Caenorhabditis elegans: one gene and its partners. The protein of the gene in region 2 purifies or fractionates together with the protein of the main gene of each other region. This does not show direct contact. Each region holds a gene or a part of one and is shown on either strand. Other genes may lie near its edges.

Region 1 (4,558 bases), on a different chromosome or scaffold from region 2:
AACATTTTGAGCAACGATTCTCCCACTGTGGGGTCCCGTAGAATCCGCATCCATTGACACATAACTGCAAAAAGAAATTGATTTTTATTCAAAAATGAATATAAACGATGCTCCGATATTCCGCCTTTAAAAATTGGGTTACTGTAATTTCAAAAAATCTTGATTTTTTAAATTTTCATTTATTTTTTTTATTTTTTCAGGAAAAATTAATATTGGAAATTTTAAAAATAGGAAAAAACTCACTAAATCATTAGCTTTTAAATGCATTTTTGCTTTCTTGTCCTCCTCGCCATGCTTATCTGACATTACTTTGTGGGGTGTTTGAAACTGAAAAATTTTTAATTTTTTCATGAAGAAAAAAACAATTTTAAAAATGAGAATTAAGGGTCGAAGAAAATATAAAACTACAGTTCAAATTAAAGAAAAAATAATTTTAACACAATTATTTTTCGAAAAATCACACAAAAATTGAAAATTTCGAAAAAAACTGACTTTAGAGATTTTGCGAAAGCTTATTAATTATTTTTTAAAAAATCTGATGTTTCAGATTAAAAAAAAATTAAAATTAGTTGAAAAATTGGATTTTTTTGATTTTCCAATTTTTTTCAATTGTATTTATTTTAAAAGTAAATTAAAAAAAACATTTTTTCCTTAAAATTTATAAATTATCTGAAATTTCTGAAGCTGAATTTCTAATCTAAATTTGAATTGAAGGAAAATGATAATAATAAATTCTAGACTAATAAAACATTACATCTTCGGCAAAAAAAATAAATTAAAGAGGTTTTTGAGCCAATTTATTTTAAATTATCCAACTTTTCAGTCCAATTTTCAGTGAAAATTCAATTTTTAATCAAATCAAGTTTTTGGAAGTAAAAAAAAATAAATTTAAACATAAAATCTAGAATTTCTGTCAATTTTTAATTAAAAATCGACCAAAAACCAAGAAAAATGGACCCAGGAGGGTTCTATTGGTGCTAAAGTTGTCCCCGTCTGGCAGGGAAACTCAAGCCGAAGATGGAGGAGGGCTCTACGCGGTCACAAGTTCGCTTCTCTGCGTCTTCACACTCTCATCCTCGATTACTCAGTCTTCATGGAAGCTCCGCCTCCATCGTGCTTTGAAAGCTGGAAACAGCTGCTCGTTCTGAAAAGATCGAGAGGACATACTCGGAAATCCGATTTTTTCGGAAATTGGTTTTCAGAGCGTGCCACCAGCCATGAACTTTTGAATACATACACAATCTGGGGGAATTGTTAGAACGAATACAATGAAAATTTCCTGGAAAATGGGGATTTCCATGTGGATCAATCAAAATTTTGAAGAAAAAAAGCTAGTTTTCGAAGAAATTTTTTGTTTTTGTGTTTGCCCATCAAATTCAACTTATTTCGGAGTTTCCACCAAATTTTACAGGATTTTTCTTTCAAATTTGCAAAAAAAAGTTACATTTTTTAGCAAAAAACTATTTTTTGTTTAAATTGTTCTGCGCATTTTTTAAATCTTATTTTAGAGATTTTTTCTCGGATTACAAAATTGATTTATTACGGTAACACAAAATTCTGAGAATGCGTATTACACAGAACATCTGCCGCGCAAAATATCTCGAAGCGAAAACTACGGTAGTTCTTTAAATGACTACAGTAGCACTTGTGTCGATTTACGGGCTAGATTTTTGTAATGAATTTATTTATCGATAGAACATTTTTTTAAAAAGCAAAAAAATGAGACTATTATCCGAAGAAATATTCGAAAAGAAATTCATATCAAAAAATCGAAAAAAACTAATTTTTCGATATGAATTTGTTTTCAAATATTTCATCGGATAATAGTCTCATTTTTTTGCTTTTTAAATAAATGTTCTATCGATAAATAAATTCATTACAAAAATCGAGCCCGTAAATCGACACAAGTGCTACTGTAGTCATTTAAAGAACTACCGTAGTTTTCGCTTCGAGATATTTTGCGAGTCAGATGTTCTGTGTAATACGCATTCTCAGAATTTTTTAATACCCGTAAAAATTCCTAAAAATAATTACGTGGGGATTTATCGATTAAAAAAATTCAAAACTTTTGACGTGGTGTTTTTAAGTGAAAAACCGTAAAATTGAATTATTTCAATATTTTCAAAATGAGCAGCGAAGGATCGATTGTTCCTATCAAACTTGCACAACGATTTATTGTAAGAATTTTTTTTTAATTTATTGATTTTTCCGCAATTTTCCAACCAAAAAACTAGTATTTAATCGATTTTCTTTCAGCACGTTATCGATTTTCATGCGGATCCTGTGACTTGTATCAGTGCGTCTTCTGGAACCGTTTCCTACGATTCAGTGACGTCACCAAAATACCCTCAAAATGACGCAATTCTCGTAAGTTTTTTGGGGTTTTTATTAGGACAACGCGCTCTATTGATAACCTGGGAGTGAATCCTGAGTGGAAAATGATATTAATTTAAAGGCGCATGCACTTAGAATACAGTAGACAATTTTCAGTGTGGCCAACAACCGCCTCCCCCTCCTCACAAATCGACAATTAAAACCGTATTCAAGAAGGAGCTCATGGAAATCCCGATTCCAGTGGATATTGAGATGTTTCGTGCGATTCAAAAGTTAGTCAAAGATGGCCGCGGAAGAGAAAACTCGGCCACGGGGAATCAATTTTGAAAAGCGAAAAGCGTTAGGCTTCGTCGCAAGACTTCGAAAACGACAGTAACCCAATTATTTTACAATTCAATATTTCCCAGAGAACAAGATGCAAGAAAATACGCGTGCATCAAAAACTCGAAAAATGTGAATGGTTTTGCGGAAGCCGGAAAAGAAGTTGAATCGGCGTTCAAAGAATGCTTGAAGAATTTCAAGAAGCCTAAGAATGATCCAACGAGAAAAGCGGTGACCAGTGTCTCAATCGAGTTTCCGTCGGGGATCTCTGATCCTGTTCATAAGCCGAAGGATATTCATAAAGTTCATTTTAAAGTATGCCTACGGCCTATTGCCAGAGCATCTCGGAAAATTTCTCGGAACCCGGAAGATATAGGGCGCCGCAAAACACTATCTAACTCATCTATTTATTATTTTAACTTAATTAAAATAATAAACAGGCGAGCGTTACAAAGTGTTTTGAGGCGCCATATATCTTCAGAATCAGGGGAGGTCATTTTAATTTCAAGAAATTCAGAATTTTCAGTGTGGGAAAATGTATCGATAAAAATGATTTTAATATGGCTTATACATATTTTGGCGGTTCTTCGAATCCATTTTAGACGTTCGAAAAATATTGAATTTCAGAGGTTTTACACATCATTTTGTGGCCCGATTTTCTTGTTTTTAAAGTCAAGAAATTTCTTTAAATTTGGCTCACAAAATGATGTGTAAAACCTCTGAAATTCAATATTTTTCGAACGTCTAAAATGGATTCGAAGAACCGCCAAAATATGTATAAGCCATATTAAAATCATTTTTAACGATACATTTTTACACACTGAAAATTCTGAATTTCTTGAAATTTCATAGAATCAAAATTTTCAGAATTCCGATAATTTCAAGTCAAAATTGGTTCACAGGAACATAGGTAGATAGGCATGATATAGCCTACCTACCTATGTGCCTGCGAACTTTACCCAAGAATTTTCAGGCAATATCCGAACGCCTATCAACTCGTATTCTGGAGAAGTTGGGATACCCTATCGATGGTCACCAACAATGCCAAATCGCGTCCAAAATGTGCCTCAATTCACCATAAAATTTGTAACTCAAGAGGCTTTTGAATAAAAAAAATTTTTTTAATTTTTTTTCTTCAGTTTTTGAAATTTCTGGATTAATTTCTGGAGAAAATCGACAATTCAGGGGGAAAAATCTTTTTTTTTTTAATTTCCGAGTTATTTCTAATTTTCCTAACAGTTTTGACTCAATTTCACTGGAGATCTGCTTCAAAATTGCACAAAAGTGGAGAATAACTGGAATTTGAGTTTTTTCCAGCTTTTCAGGAAAAAAAAAATGGAAAACCAAGTTTTCCTTGATTTTTGAGATTTAGTCCATCAAAAAAGGAAAAAATTGCGAAATTTCCCGATTTTTCAGGCTTTTTTAAAAGGTTTTTCGGCAAAAACATCAAAAAATGGTTCACAATTTGAAAAAAATTCAGAAAAAAAAGTTTTATATATTTTAAGTCTACTTCTGACGCAGGAATTCAGAAATAGACAAGAAAATTGTCAATGACTCAAATAATCCTAGAATTTAGAAGAAAATCCTAGAATTTAGAAGAAAATCCCGATTTTTTCGTAGTTTTAGAGAAATTTTATAAAAATCCTGGTTTTAACGAAATATTTTTGGATTTTCTTGGTTTTTTTAATTATAAAATAGTAGCTTTAGATTTGAATCCGTCTCAAAATGAGACTTTTAAGCTTTTACTACTGAAATTTCACGAAAAAAAACCCCGTTTTTCTTAACTTTTCGCTATTATCTCAGTTTTTTATTCCTTGCAGATTTTCAGACTTAATCCCTCGAACTAATCCCTTCCTTTTAATTAAACTAAGAGGAAGGAAAAAAAAACGCCGCGGGAGGAGTT
Region 2 (5,666 bases):
GAGCTGAAAAAGGTGTTTTTTTTGTTGAGAAAATTTCAGAAAAATCGAAAAAAATTAAAAATTGAAAGCGAAAATGTTTCGAATTTTCTCCTGAATTTTTTCGAAACTAAAAACAGATAAAAACCCGGAAAACTCTGAAATTTTTTAATTTTCACGATGTTTCCGAGTTTTTCATCAAAAAATCGAAATAAAACCAGAAAAAACAAGAAAATTTCTAATTTTCAGCGTTTTTCCGTAAATTTTCCGAAAAAAAAAACCGGAAAACACAAAAATTTTAGATTTTTCGGTGTGTTTTCCGAAAAAAAAAACAGAATTGCTCATCAATTTTTCCGTTGTTTTTTCCCTACAAAATTCGGGGAAAAAAAACGAAAATTTTGAAAATTTCAGTTTTTTACGAAAAAAAAAATCCGGAAAAAAATACGGATTTTTTTTGTTTGTTTTGCTGTAAAAAAATAGAATAAAAGACTCAGAAACCCCGGAAATTTCAGATTTTCCGGTGTTTTTCAATTTTTCAATTTTTACGAAAAAAAAAATTGAAAAAAAAAACACGAAAATTTCAGATTTATTAAAAAATGTTTTTATTAAAATTAAATTTTATTTTAATTTAATAAAAACCCACACATTTCTGACAAAACTTGAATTTTAAAATTTCTCAAAAAATTACTGGGTTTTTCCCAAAAATTTCCTAATTTTTAGCTTGTCCGTGGAGTACAATTGGTGAACGGACGTCTTGATTTGGTTGCCATGCAGCTTAACACACTGAAACCAACATCAGAAGCTGGAAATAATGACGAAAAGAATATTGTGTGGATCGAGAAGGGTTGGTTTTTACAAAAAAAAACAAAAAGGGAAAAAATCCCATAAAATCCAATTTTTTGTTATTACACATCCGTGGAAATTTTCTCCCAAAAAATTCCACGAATGTGTAATAACTAAAATTTTTTTCAATTTTTAAAGTTTAAATTTAAAATTGAAAAAAAAAGCTCTGAATTTCTTCATATTTTTCTCCGGATCAGAAAAATGACCAAAAAATGTTCCAAAAAATTCAATTTTTACCCTGAATTTCCTCTAAAAAACCCCGATATTTTCCCCTAAAATTCCCCTAAAAAATTAATTTTTCTCCCCAAAATTCCCTCTAAAAACCCCAATTTTTACCCTAAAATTCCCCCAAAAAATCCAATTTTTTCCTTAAAAATCCCTCTAAAAATCCAGTTTTTCCCTTAAAATATTCCTTTTAAAAAACCCAATTTTTTACCTTAAAATTCCCCCAAAAAACCCTAATTTTTACCCTAAAATTCCCCTAAAAAACCCATTTTTTTCCCCAAAATTCCCTCTAAAAACCCCAATTTTTACCCTAAAATTCCCATAAAAAATCCAATTTTTCGCTCAATTTCCCCTGAAAATACCCATTTTTCACATAAAATTCCCTCAAAATTCCCCCCTGTAAACCCCCAAATTTTTACCTTAAAATTCCCCTAAAAATCTCCAAAAAACTCAATTTTTACCCTAAAATTCCCCTAAAAAACACCAATTTTTCCCCTAAAATTCCCTATAAAAAATACAATTTTTACTTTAAAATTCCCCTGAAAATACCCATTTTTCACATAAAATTCCCCCAAAAAACACCAATTTTTTACCTAAAATTCCCTATAAAAAACCCAATTTTTACCCTGAATTTCCTCTAAAAAACCCCGATATTTTCCCCTAAAATTCCCCTAAAAATCCATTTTTCTCCCCAAAATTCCCTCTAAAAACCCCAATTTTTACCCTAAAATTCCCCTAAAAACCCCAATTTTTTCCCAAAAACACCAATTTTCTCTTGCAGGTCTCCGTCTCTACAAGCCAACGCCCTACTATGAGCAAATGGACACTGTGGAGAAGCTCGATATGACCGTTTTTCACAAATTTGTCGCCTTGATGCTCGGATTTGGAGCACCACATGCTCATTGACACGGGCTCTAAATCCTTTTTTTTTCAAAGAAATTTTGATTTTTTTTTCAATTTTTTAATAGGTAGCTACTGTTTTTCATTGTTTTTTTGGTTGTTTTTTTCTCGGATTTTTTTTTGAAATTGTATTGATTTTTTAATGATTTTTTGTGATTTTTTCCTCGAAATTATTGGTTTTTAGCCAATTTTCTACCTAATTTTCCAGTTTTTCCCAGCTTTTCCCCCCGAAAAATGCCCAAAATTTTCAGCCTAAATGTGCGATATCAGCACGGAAGATCAATTGCTAGAATTTGCACGAAAAGGTTTTTTTTTGGATTTTTAAGCTTTTGGCCCCCGTTGAATTTCCGTATTTTCAGCCGCCGAATCAGGAGATCAGACACAGACTTTTGAATTTAAGAAGCACATTGGTTTTTTGATTCGACACTTGAACGTATTCCCACAGCCGTATAATACGTTGGAGACTAGTCGGTGAGGAGATTAGAAAAAAATTGAAGAAAATTGATAAAATTCCAGTTAAAATTCCAGAAATTTGAAAAAATTGCGAAATTTTTATGGAAAAATTCAAAAATTAGAAAATATTGATTTTTCATTTTTTTTTTAAATTAAAAATCCAATTTTAAGCTATTTTTTGGCTGAAAATTTGTGAAATTGTTTTTAAAAAATTCAATTTTATTGAGAAAAAAACCGTATAAAGTCAATTTTTACATATAAAAATCGATTGGAATATGGAAAATTAAAAAAAAACGTGTAATAACAAAAAAACTATTTCGGAAAATTCACAAAATCTATAAAAAATTTGCGAAATTTTGATGGAAAAATTCAAAAATTAGAAAATATTGATTTTTCAGTTTTTTTAAAATTAAAAATCCAATTTTTTTCGATTTTTTCTTGTTAAAAAGTTTAAGAAAACAGCTTTTAAAAAATCGATTGGAATATAGAAAATTTAGAAAAAAAGCTATTTCGGAAAATTCACAAAATCTATAAAAAAGTTCAAAAAATCAGAAAATATTGATTTTTGAACTTTTGAATTTTTTAAGACTAAAAATCCAATTTTTACGCGCTATAGAATTGTTGAAACCTACTAAAAAATTAACCTAAAATTCGAAAAATACTTCTAAAAATTGGATTCTCCGGATTTTTCACAAAATTAATTTAAAATTACAATTTTTTCAAAGCTAAAAACTGGCAATTTTTCGCCCAATTTTTAAAAAGTTTGAATTAAAATTTAAAAAAAAATTCCCCGCAGATGGAAAAATTCAAAAAATTAGAAAATATTAATTTTTTAATTCTTTTTTAAGTTAAAATTTCAATTTTTAAGATATATTTTGGCTGGAAATTTGTGAAATTGTGGCAAAAAATTCAATTTTCTTGAGAAAAAAAACCGATTGAAATTTAAACACACATTAGAAAAAAAAATGATTTCTGAAATTTCGGAAATTCAAAACATTTGGAATTATTGATTTTTCAGTTCTTTATAGTTAAAAGTCGAATTTTTAAGCAAAAAATTGTAAAAACCTTCAAATTTTTGGCTAATTTTTCAACTTTTAATATCAAAAAATATTAATCTCGTTAACGAAAAATCATTTTTTACGTATAAAAAACTGTTTGGAATTTGAAAAATTGCGGAAAAATAATTATTTCTGAAATTTGAATTTTTTTTGTTGAAAAAATTGTCTGCTATTGTTAAAAAATTAGAAAATCTACTAATTTTTCAATTTTTTAGAGTTGAAAATTAAATTTTTCAAAAAATTTCAAAAATTGGGAAAATTTGCTAATAAAATAGTAAAATTAGCGCTCTGAAAATTCCAAAAAAAAAAAATTAATTTAAAATTACAATTTTCGTAGAAATTCAAAGTTTATTCCAAAAAAAAAACACAATAGTTCAGAATTGTACGTTTTTTTTTTAATTTTGACTGAATAAAATCCTAAAAAAAATTATTTTCTCCAACTTTTCTAATCTAAAATTATCAAATTTTCAGGAAATCACTATTTTAATTGAAAAATTCCATTTTTTTTTCTAAAATTATCTTTAAAAAATTGGAAAAAAAAATTTTTCACCAATTTCCTCTGATTTTAATTTAAAAAATTTCAAAAAATTCTATGAAAATGACCCTAAACTACTCTGAAAAATTCGAAAATGTTTTTTTTTTTTTCATATTTTTCACAAAATTAATTTAAAATTACAAATTTCAAGCTAAAAATGCTCGATTGACTCCCAGTTTTCTCAAAAAAGTTTCACAAAAACTCCGATATTTTCCCCTAAAATTCCCCCAAAAAACACCAATTTTTCCCCTAAATTAAAAAAAATTGCGAAATTTTGATGGAAAAATTCAAAAATTAGAAAATATTGATTTTTCAGTTTTTTTAAATTAAACATCCAATTTTAAGCTATATATATTTTTTAAATTCAATTTTATTGAGAAAAAAACCGTATAAAGTCAATTTTTACATATAAAAATCGATTGGAATATGGAAAATTTAGAAAAAAAAAATTTAATTAGGAAAATTTGAAAAAAAATGCGAAATTTTGATGGAAAAATGGAAAAAAATTAGAAAATATTGATTTTCCAATTTTTTAAAATTAAAAATCCAATTTTTTTCGATTTTTTCTTGTTAAAAAGTTTAAAGAGAACAGCTTTTAAAAAATTAAAATTCAAAAAATTGAGAAAAAGTTTTTTTTTTTCAAATAAAATTGTGAAATTAGTTCTAAAAATTTAGAAAAATGTCGAAAGATACCTCTAAAAATTCAATTCTCTGGGATTTAAAAAAAAAAAATTGGAAATTCCCATCTTTTTTTTTAACTCCCAGAAAAAACTAGAAAATTGTCAAAATTTTGAAAATAACCGTTCAAAATTGGCAGAAAATGGCTTGAAAAATTGCAAAAACCTTATTACACATTCGTGGAAATTTTTCCACGAATGTGTAATAACACAATTCTGATGGTTTTTTTTTGTTGAAAAATTGCTTAAAAATTATTACACATTCGTGGAAATTTTTATTAGGGAGAATTTTTTCACGAATGTGTAATAACACAGTTCTGAAGGCTTTTTCTCCAGAAATAGTTTGAAAAATCGAAAAAAAAAACAATTTTCAAAAAATGCGATTTTTTTTTCTTCAATTTTTCAAACTATTTTAAAAAATTAGTTGAAAAAACTAGAAAAGTTGAAATTTTGAGATTTTTGAGCTAAAAATGCTCAATTTTCTCCCAAAATGTCTCAAAATTAAACTGAAATTCCCGGATTTTTCACAAAATTAATTTAAAATTACAATTTTCAAGCTAAAAATGGGCAATTTTCTTCCGAGAAAATTCTAGAAAAATGCCAAAAAACAGCTTTAAACAATTGAAATTTTGAGATTTTTCAAGCTAAAAATGCTCAATTTTCTCCCAAAATTTCTCAAAAATTTCACAAAAAAAATTCAAATTTTTTCCAGAAACACAATCTTCCTATTCGCAATCTCTTCACTGGATTTGCTCGGCGAGCTCGACAATCTCCTGACTCCGGAACGCCGTCAGGCGTATATCGATTGGATTTACGGACTTCAGTTTACAAACGGTACCCCACCCACGCAAAATTTCTAGGAGTTGAACGCATTTTTCTTGTTAAAAATCTTTTTTTCCCCTTTTTCCCGATTTTTTTCCCATTTTTTTTTCACAAATTTCCATAATTTCCCGTTCAAAAATGTCTTCCCACCACCACGCCGCCCCCGCACTCTATTGT
Region 3 (5,018 bases), on a different chromosome or scaffold from region 2:
TTTGTACTCTCCGAAACAGAATGTATCAGTCTGAAAATTATTTTCAAGTGTATTAAGCACACATTTCCTAATAGCTTACTCCTGGACAAGGGTTTCTAGAATTACAAATGACTCTAGAACCGTTACTACTCAAAAGCCCAATTGATTGTTTTGGGCATTCGAGTTCCTCTTCAGGTAGCGGAGTTGTGGCTTTAACACGGTACCCTCTGGGGCTTTTCGTTGTTGTTGGTGGTGGTGCATGCTTTCTTTGGAAAGACGGGTCTTCGCAACAGATATATCCAAGTCCAACATCGGCACAGTGCATGTTCTCCTATAACACAGTCAATTTGTGGGGGGGGGGGGAGGGGGGACTGATAAATAGGTCGATGTGGGGTAAATTTGCGACCCAGGAAAACTTTCAGGAAAACTTCCAAAATTGAGAAAAAAATATTTTTGTTGTAAAACGTGTCTAAAAAGTAAATCTCACCATTTTTGTATGGAAAATAGTGTTTTTCTTTAATTTTTTTTGCAGAAAATATGGTAATTTTTTTTTTAATTTTCAGCTTTTAGACGATTTTTCATAGAAAAAACAATTTAAATAAACAAATTTCGTAGTGAAACTTCTCAGAAAAATGTCAAAACTTTTTTATGCCGGCACAAAATTTATTTACATAAATTACCTAATTCCCTCTACAATCTCAAAGTTCAGCCACTTTTTCGTGTGCCAGCGGCTCCAAGTCAATTTTACTGATTTATTTATAATTGTTATTTGTTATCACATTTAAACCTGATAAATGACCAAAACTGACTAACCTGAAACCTTTCTTCGAAACTTTGAACCGCCATAAAAACATTTTTTTTAGTTTAAAATATTTTGAAAACTTTCATTACGAAGTTCGCTCATTTAAAGACGTTTTAAGTCCATAATTTAATTATACCCAGTATTAAAACATTCGAAAAGTTATCACGAACCAAGGAAATCAAGTATTCCGCTGTTCACGGCTTTTTAATATTCATATAGTTTGTCTCACTATTTTAGAAACTTGTATGTATAAGAGATCAAAAATTGGATAAACTAATTGAAACACATTTAATAATGATGTGTCTTGTTTCTAACTTACCCCCGGGCAACTTCTGGCTATCTGACTACATTTCATTGGCAAACCATGTGGATCCAAAACTGTTAGCTTTGGGTATGGACAACTCGGTTGATTATCTATGGATGGCTCATTTGACGGGCAGCACATATAATTCAATCCGGTAAAGAAACAGTTATGATTAGCACCACAAATTAAGTGTTGTGAAGTGCCTGAAAACAAGTATGTTATATTGGATGTGAACTGAAAATAACAACTACCTGGCAAACATTGTAGAGGTCTTAACGATGAATCTAACTTTGGTAGTTGGCCATTTGGGCAGGTTGGAGCTTGTGCTAAAAACAAACTCTAAGCTAATTAAATGGTGTTCAAACATCACAAACTGCTAACCTGATGCAAAATAGACTAACAAAATTAGAAAGTAACAAGAAACGAAAGTCGTTGTAGGAATCATGAAAAATGTTGTAGATGGGTTTGAGTGATAATATGGGGTAGTTGAAGGGAGCGGTACTCTGTCGGGAAAATGAAGAGGGAAAATGGATAGAAATAAGAAGGATGGGTTAAGGACGTGTAGTCGATTAACCTCTTTTACGGATGCATCTCCTTTTTCGGGAGGAATCACAAGAGAAGATAAGTAGAAATTATCACATATCTGCATCTCTCATTCTCTTCACTTTTCCGCCTATCGTTATCGTATCATAATCGAAAGTTTTTTTGAAGATGTTTCCAATCTGAAGAATGTTCCATTCACTAATTCGGCAAAATGTCTCGGATTGAAAAATGGAAGCTATGAAAAACGATGCAGTGATCATATGGTGGACCGAAAATATTCTGATCTGACACTTAAAAGGATCCAATGTGAAATTTCCAGAGTATACACGTTTGATCTACAACAACCGCAACTTCCGCATGACGTCATTTTTCAAATTTGAATTCCTCGCAATTTTAGTAGGGCGAAATAAATCAGAATCCAAGTGAGAGTATGAGTCATATTTCTCATACCCTAACCATAATTTCCGGACGCAACAAACTATATACCTTGTTAGCTTTCTATGTTTCTCTAATTTCGTGAGTCACCTGAGGTCGCATGCATGGCAGGTACACACATTGCGTCGGGGGCGACAGAACCGCATATCGATCTATTGTTGTTTGCTCAAGCGGTGTGGACAACTATACTGATGTATGCTTCTCAATGCTGATTCTTACTTTGTGCGTGCTTTTAACAGTGCAAGTTTGTCCGGAAGAAAATTGGTTGCCCAACAGGAAAGAAGAACCGCGTCCTGTCAGTTATTTTTCACAGCGAACCAGGTAAAATACTAACATTTTTTGGATTGATAGAGGTGAAAAACTGATCTCTATAGATGTTTAAAATAACATTCTTAGAGCTTGGAAAATCTATTTGAGTTACTAATAAAATATTTTTATCATTTCAAGTTATCTTTTTTGATTCCATTTTAAAAAAACACTTTACAACTTTCAGGAGCTTGAATGCAGGTTACGCCACTGATGGCGATCCTGCAATAAACGATGAAGTCTACCGAATCTTCATGCTCACCATTCTCGACGGCTTCAACATCTTCAAAATCAAAATGTACAATGACCGTTCGTTCATCTATTTGACTCGCCGAAATTATTGGTTAGGCGATCGTTATTATTATATGGTTTGTTATTGTCCTTGAAACTCTCATCGATATACTAAAATTACAGGACAATTATTATTACCTTGCCACGCGGGATACGTGCGCATACCGTATGAATGAGACCGAACGACAACATCTTTTCTACGAAGAGGACAACATGCCGATATTCGATATCATTTATCAGTATGTTTTCATTGCGTATTCAGAGAGAAAAGGAATTTTCGACATAATATTATCCTAACGATGATAAGAAAAGACGTTTGCCAAGTTTTTAGTGGCATCTCGTTGTTCAACTCAATCACAAGCAATCACAAAAAGTGCTGGAAAGTTTAACACTTTTCCAATATAATCAGGGTTACCCAAATACTCAATCTCATAAACAATTTGACACTTATAAGAAAAAAACAGTTATCATAAATCCCTGTGGTGTGTTCGAGACCCTTCAAATATTTTTTTGATCGATGACATCCATAAAAGTAGCACAAACTGTGATTGTTCCAATTATCAAAAATCGTATAAAATTTAGAAAATTTTTTTGAATTTTTTTTACTACGCTATTTGGCCAATGTGGTGCCCTAGGCCTGTTTTAAAGCAATTTCCACACTATAATGTAAAACATGCAAAACATGTGTAATTAACATTTTAAAATATTACAACCTTCACGAATAAAATTATTATTAATTAATAATAATTTGGATCGCTGAAGCTAACGTGAATTCAAAAAAAAATTGCACATCAGTTTAAAGGCACACGTTGTTTTTATCAGTGGGTCTCGCCACGATCTTTACGATTTTGAATGTATAGACCTGAAATGTGCTCAAGTAAACAAATTTCGTAATGAAACAATTCAAAGTTTGTTTTTAAAAAATTTCAATGGCAGTGCAAAATTTCAGAAAAAAAAATCGCTCAATTTTAGCGGACTTTTCCGCGTCGCAGCAGTCCGAAAATGACTAATTTGAATTATCATCAGTTTTTGCATATTTTGGTCGTTTATCTAACGCTATTTTGTTAATTGAGGTACATTTAAAGTCAATATGTGACTAATTTTTGTCAGTTTTGAATACCTACATATAGTTTCAAATGTACCGTAATTGAACCGCAATAAAAACAAATAATTTGGAAAATTTTTGCAAAGTTTCGTTACGAAGTTCGTTTTTGTAAGCTTTTGTTGGGTCTATACGTTCAAAAAAAAGAATTGCTGTTCAGTTTTAGAGTGTGGCATTGCTTTCAGTTAAAAATTTCGAAAAATTGTAGAAAATTTGAAACTTAGAAAACAATGTGTTCTGGAAGCTTGTGATTTTTCAATTATACAATTTCAGGTGCCAACGATATCAAGAGTACTGCTGTGGCCTGAATTGCTGCAAAATTGATCAAATCGGGCGTCATGACGAGCCACCGAAACCCCCAAAGTACCCTTGGCAAGATCCATGGCGTCATAACTCTGCATCATCATCATCATCTTCTCTCACTCTAATTGCCATACTCCTAATCTCAATTTTCAACTCTGCATAAATTTGTATGAAATTATGCCTGAATGACAGATAACCACCGGCACATAAATAAGAATGCTTCCTTGAAAATGCGGCAGCTTTCCATTCTTTCAAGAGGCAATCATCAAAACAATCGACGGAAAAGCTTGATGCATACTTTTGGTCTATTTTTCTGCACAATGTAGTATTATTTTTTTGAGCAGCGAAAAAAAAACACGACAAATCTTGCTGAATTTCTGAGCCTACACAAATTTTTCTAACCTTTCAAACTCTAATATGCAAAACGTGACTTTTTCGGTTGCGGAACCTCTGTTTTTCCCAGATTACAGATGTGACTTTTCCCGCCAAAGTTTATAGAATTTTCTAATGCCTAGAACACATGTCGAAATTCATTGGAAATGTCCTACGCTCAAAACGTGAATAATTACTTGGCCAACCTTCGTCTCGCACATCCACACTTCTGAATTCTCAGCAGCTCACATCAACTCACTAGTCAGCTCAAACAAAACAATTAGGACACTAGTGTATTTTTTGAGCATTTTTGTTTTTTTTTTCATTGTTTTTTGCTTTACAATTCTCAACACTTTTTTTGATCAAACTTCTCAAATATCAAACACCAGTCAAATCACAAATTCACATCTACCTAAGTATTCCATATCACTTGGTGATTTGAAAAAAAAAACATTTCTAGACTTTTCGGAACCAAGACGTGCCAAAGTGACACCCCAATCCAAGAAAATCTAATTTTGCTCGCAACAGTGCACAAAACAAGCCACGTTTTTGTGTGTGTTTTTCTCATTCTTTTGTTTTAT

The links.
Region 1: the proteins of Y48E1B.3 (region 2) and Y39A1A.2 fractionate together in Caenorhabditis elegans (co-fractionation; one large-scale study listed by BioGRID). This does not show direct contact.
Region 3: the proteins of Y48E1B.3 (region 2) and K02E10.6 fractionate together in Caenorhabditis elegans (co-fractionation; one large-scale study listed by BioGRID). This does not show direct contact.

Annotation. Positions count from the first base shown.
Region 1 is NC_003281.10:10,601,118-10,605,675, reverse strand, and holds Y39A1A.2 (Reverse transcriptase domain-containing protein), read left to right. Parts: upstream 1-2,109; 5' UTR 2,110-2,126; coding exon 2,127-2,177; intron 2,178-2,252; exon of another isoform or gene 2,253-2,256; coding exon 2,257-2,367; intron 2,368-2,490; coding exon 2,491-2,606; intron 2,607-2,741; coding exon 2,742-2,970; intron 2,971-3,628; coding exon 3,629-3,736; coding exon of another isoform or gene 3,737-3,765; 3' UTR 3,766-3,782; downstream 3,783-4,558. Other genes in the region: rabx-5 (Rab5 GDP/GTP exchange factor), read right to left, coding at 1-64, 244-306.
Region 2 is NC_003280.10:13,564,501-13,570,166, reverse strand, and holds the start of Y48E1B.3 (Geranylgeranyl transferase type I subunit beta), read left to right. Parts: upstream 1-2,195; 5' UTR 2,196-2,200; coding exon of another isoform or gene 2,201-2,249; intron 2,250-2,303; coding exon of another isoform or gene 2,304-2,415; intron 2,416-5,379; coding exon of another isoform or gene 5,380-5,501; 5' UTR 5,502-5,627; coding exon 5,628-5,666. Other genes in the region: mrpl-37 (Large ribosomal subunit protein mL37), read left to right, coding at 697-820, 1,826-1,950.
Region 3 is NC_003284.9:2,479,979-2,484,996, reverse strand, and holds K02E10.6 (CX domain-containing protein), read left to right. Parts: upstream 1-2,226; 5' UTR 2,227-2,268; coding exon 2,269-2,384; intron 2,385-2,556; coding exon 2,557-2,737; intron 2,738-2,783; coding exon 2,784-2,899; intron 2,900-4,035; coding exon 4,036-4,228; 3' UTR 4,229-4,242; downstream 4,243-5,018. Other genes in the region: K02E10.4 (uncharacterized protein), read right to left, coding at 1-30, 80-310, 1,101-1,288, 1,334-1,411, 1,467-1,734.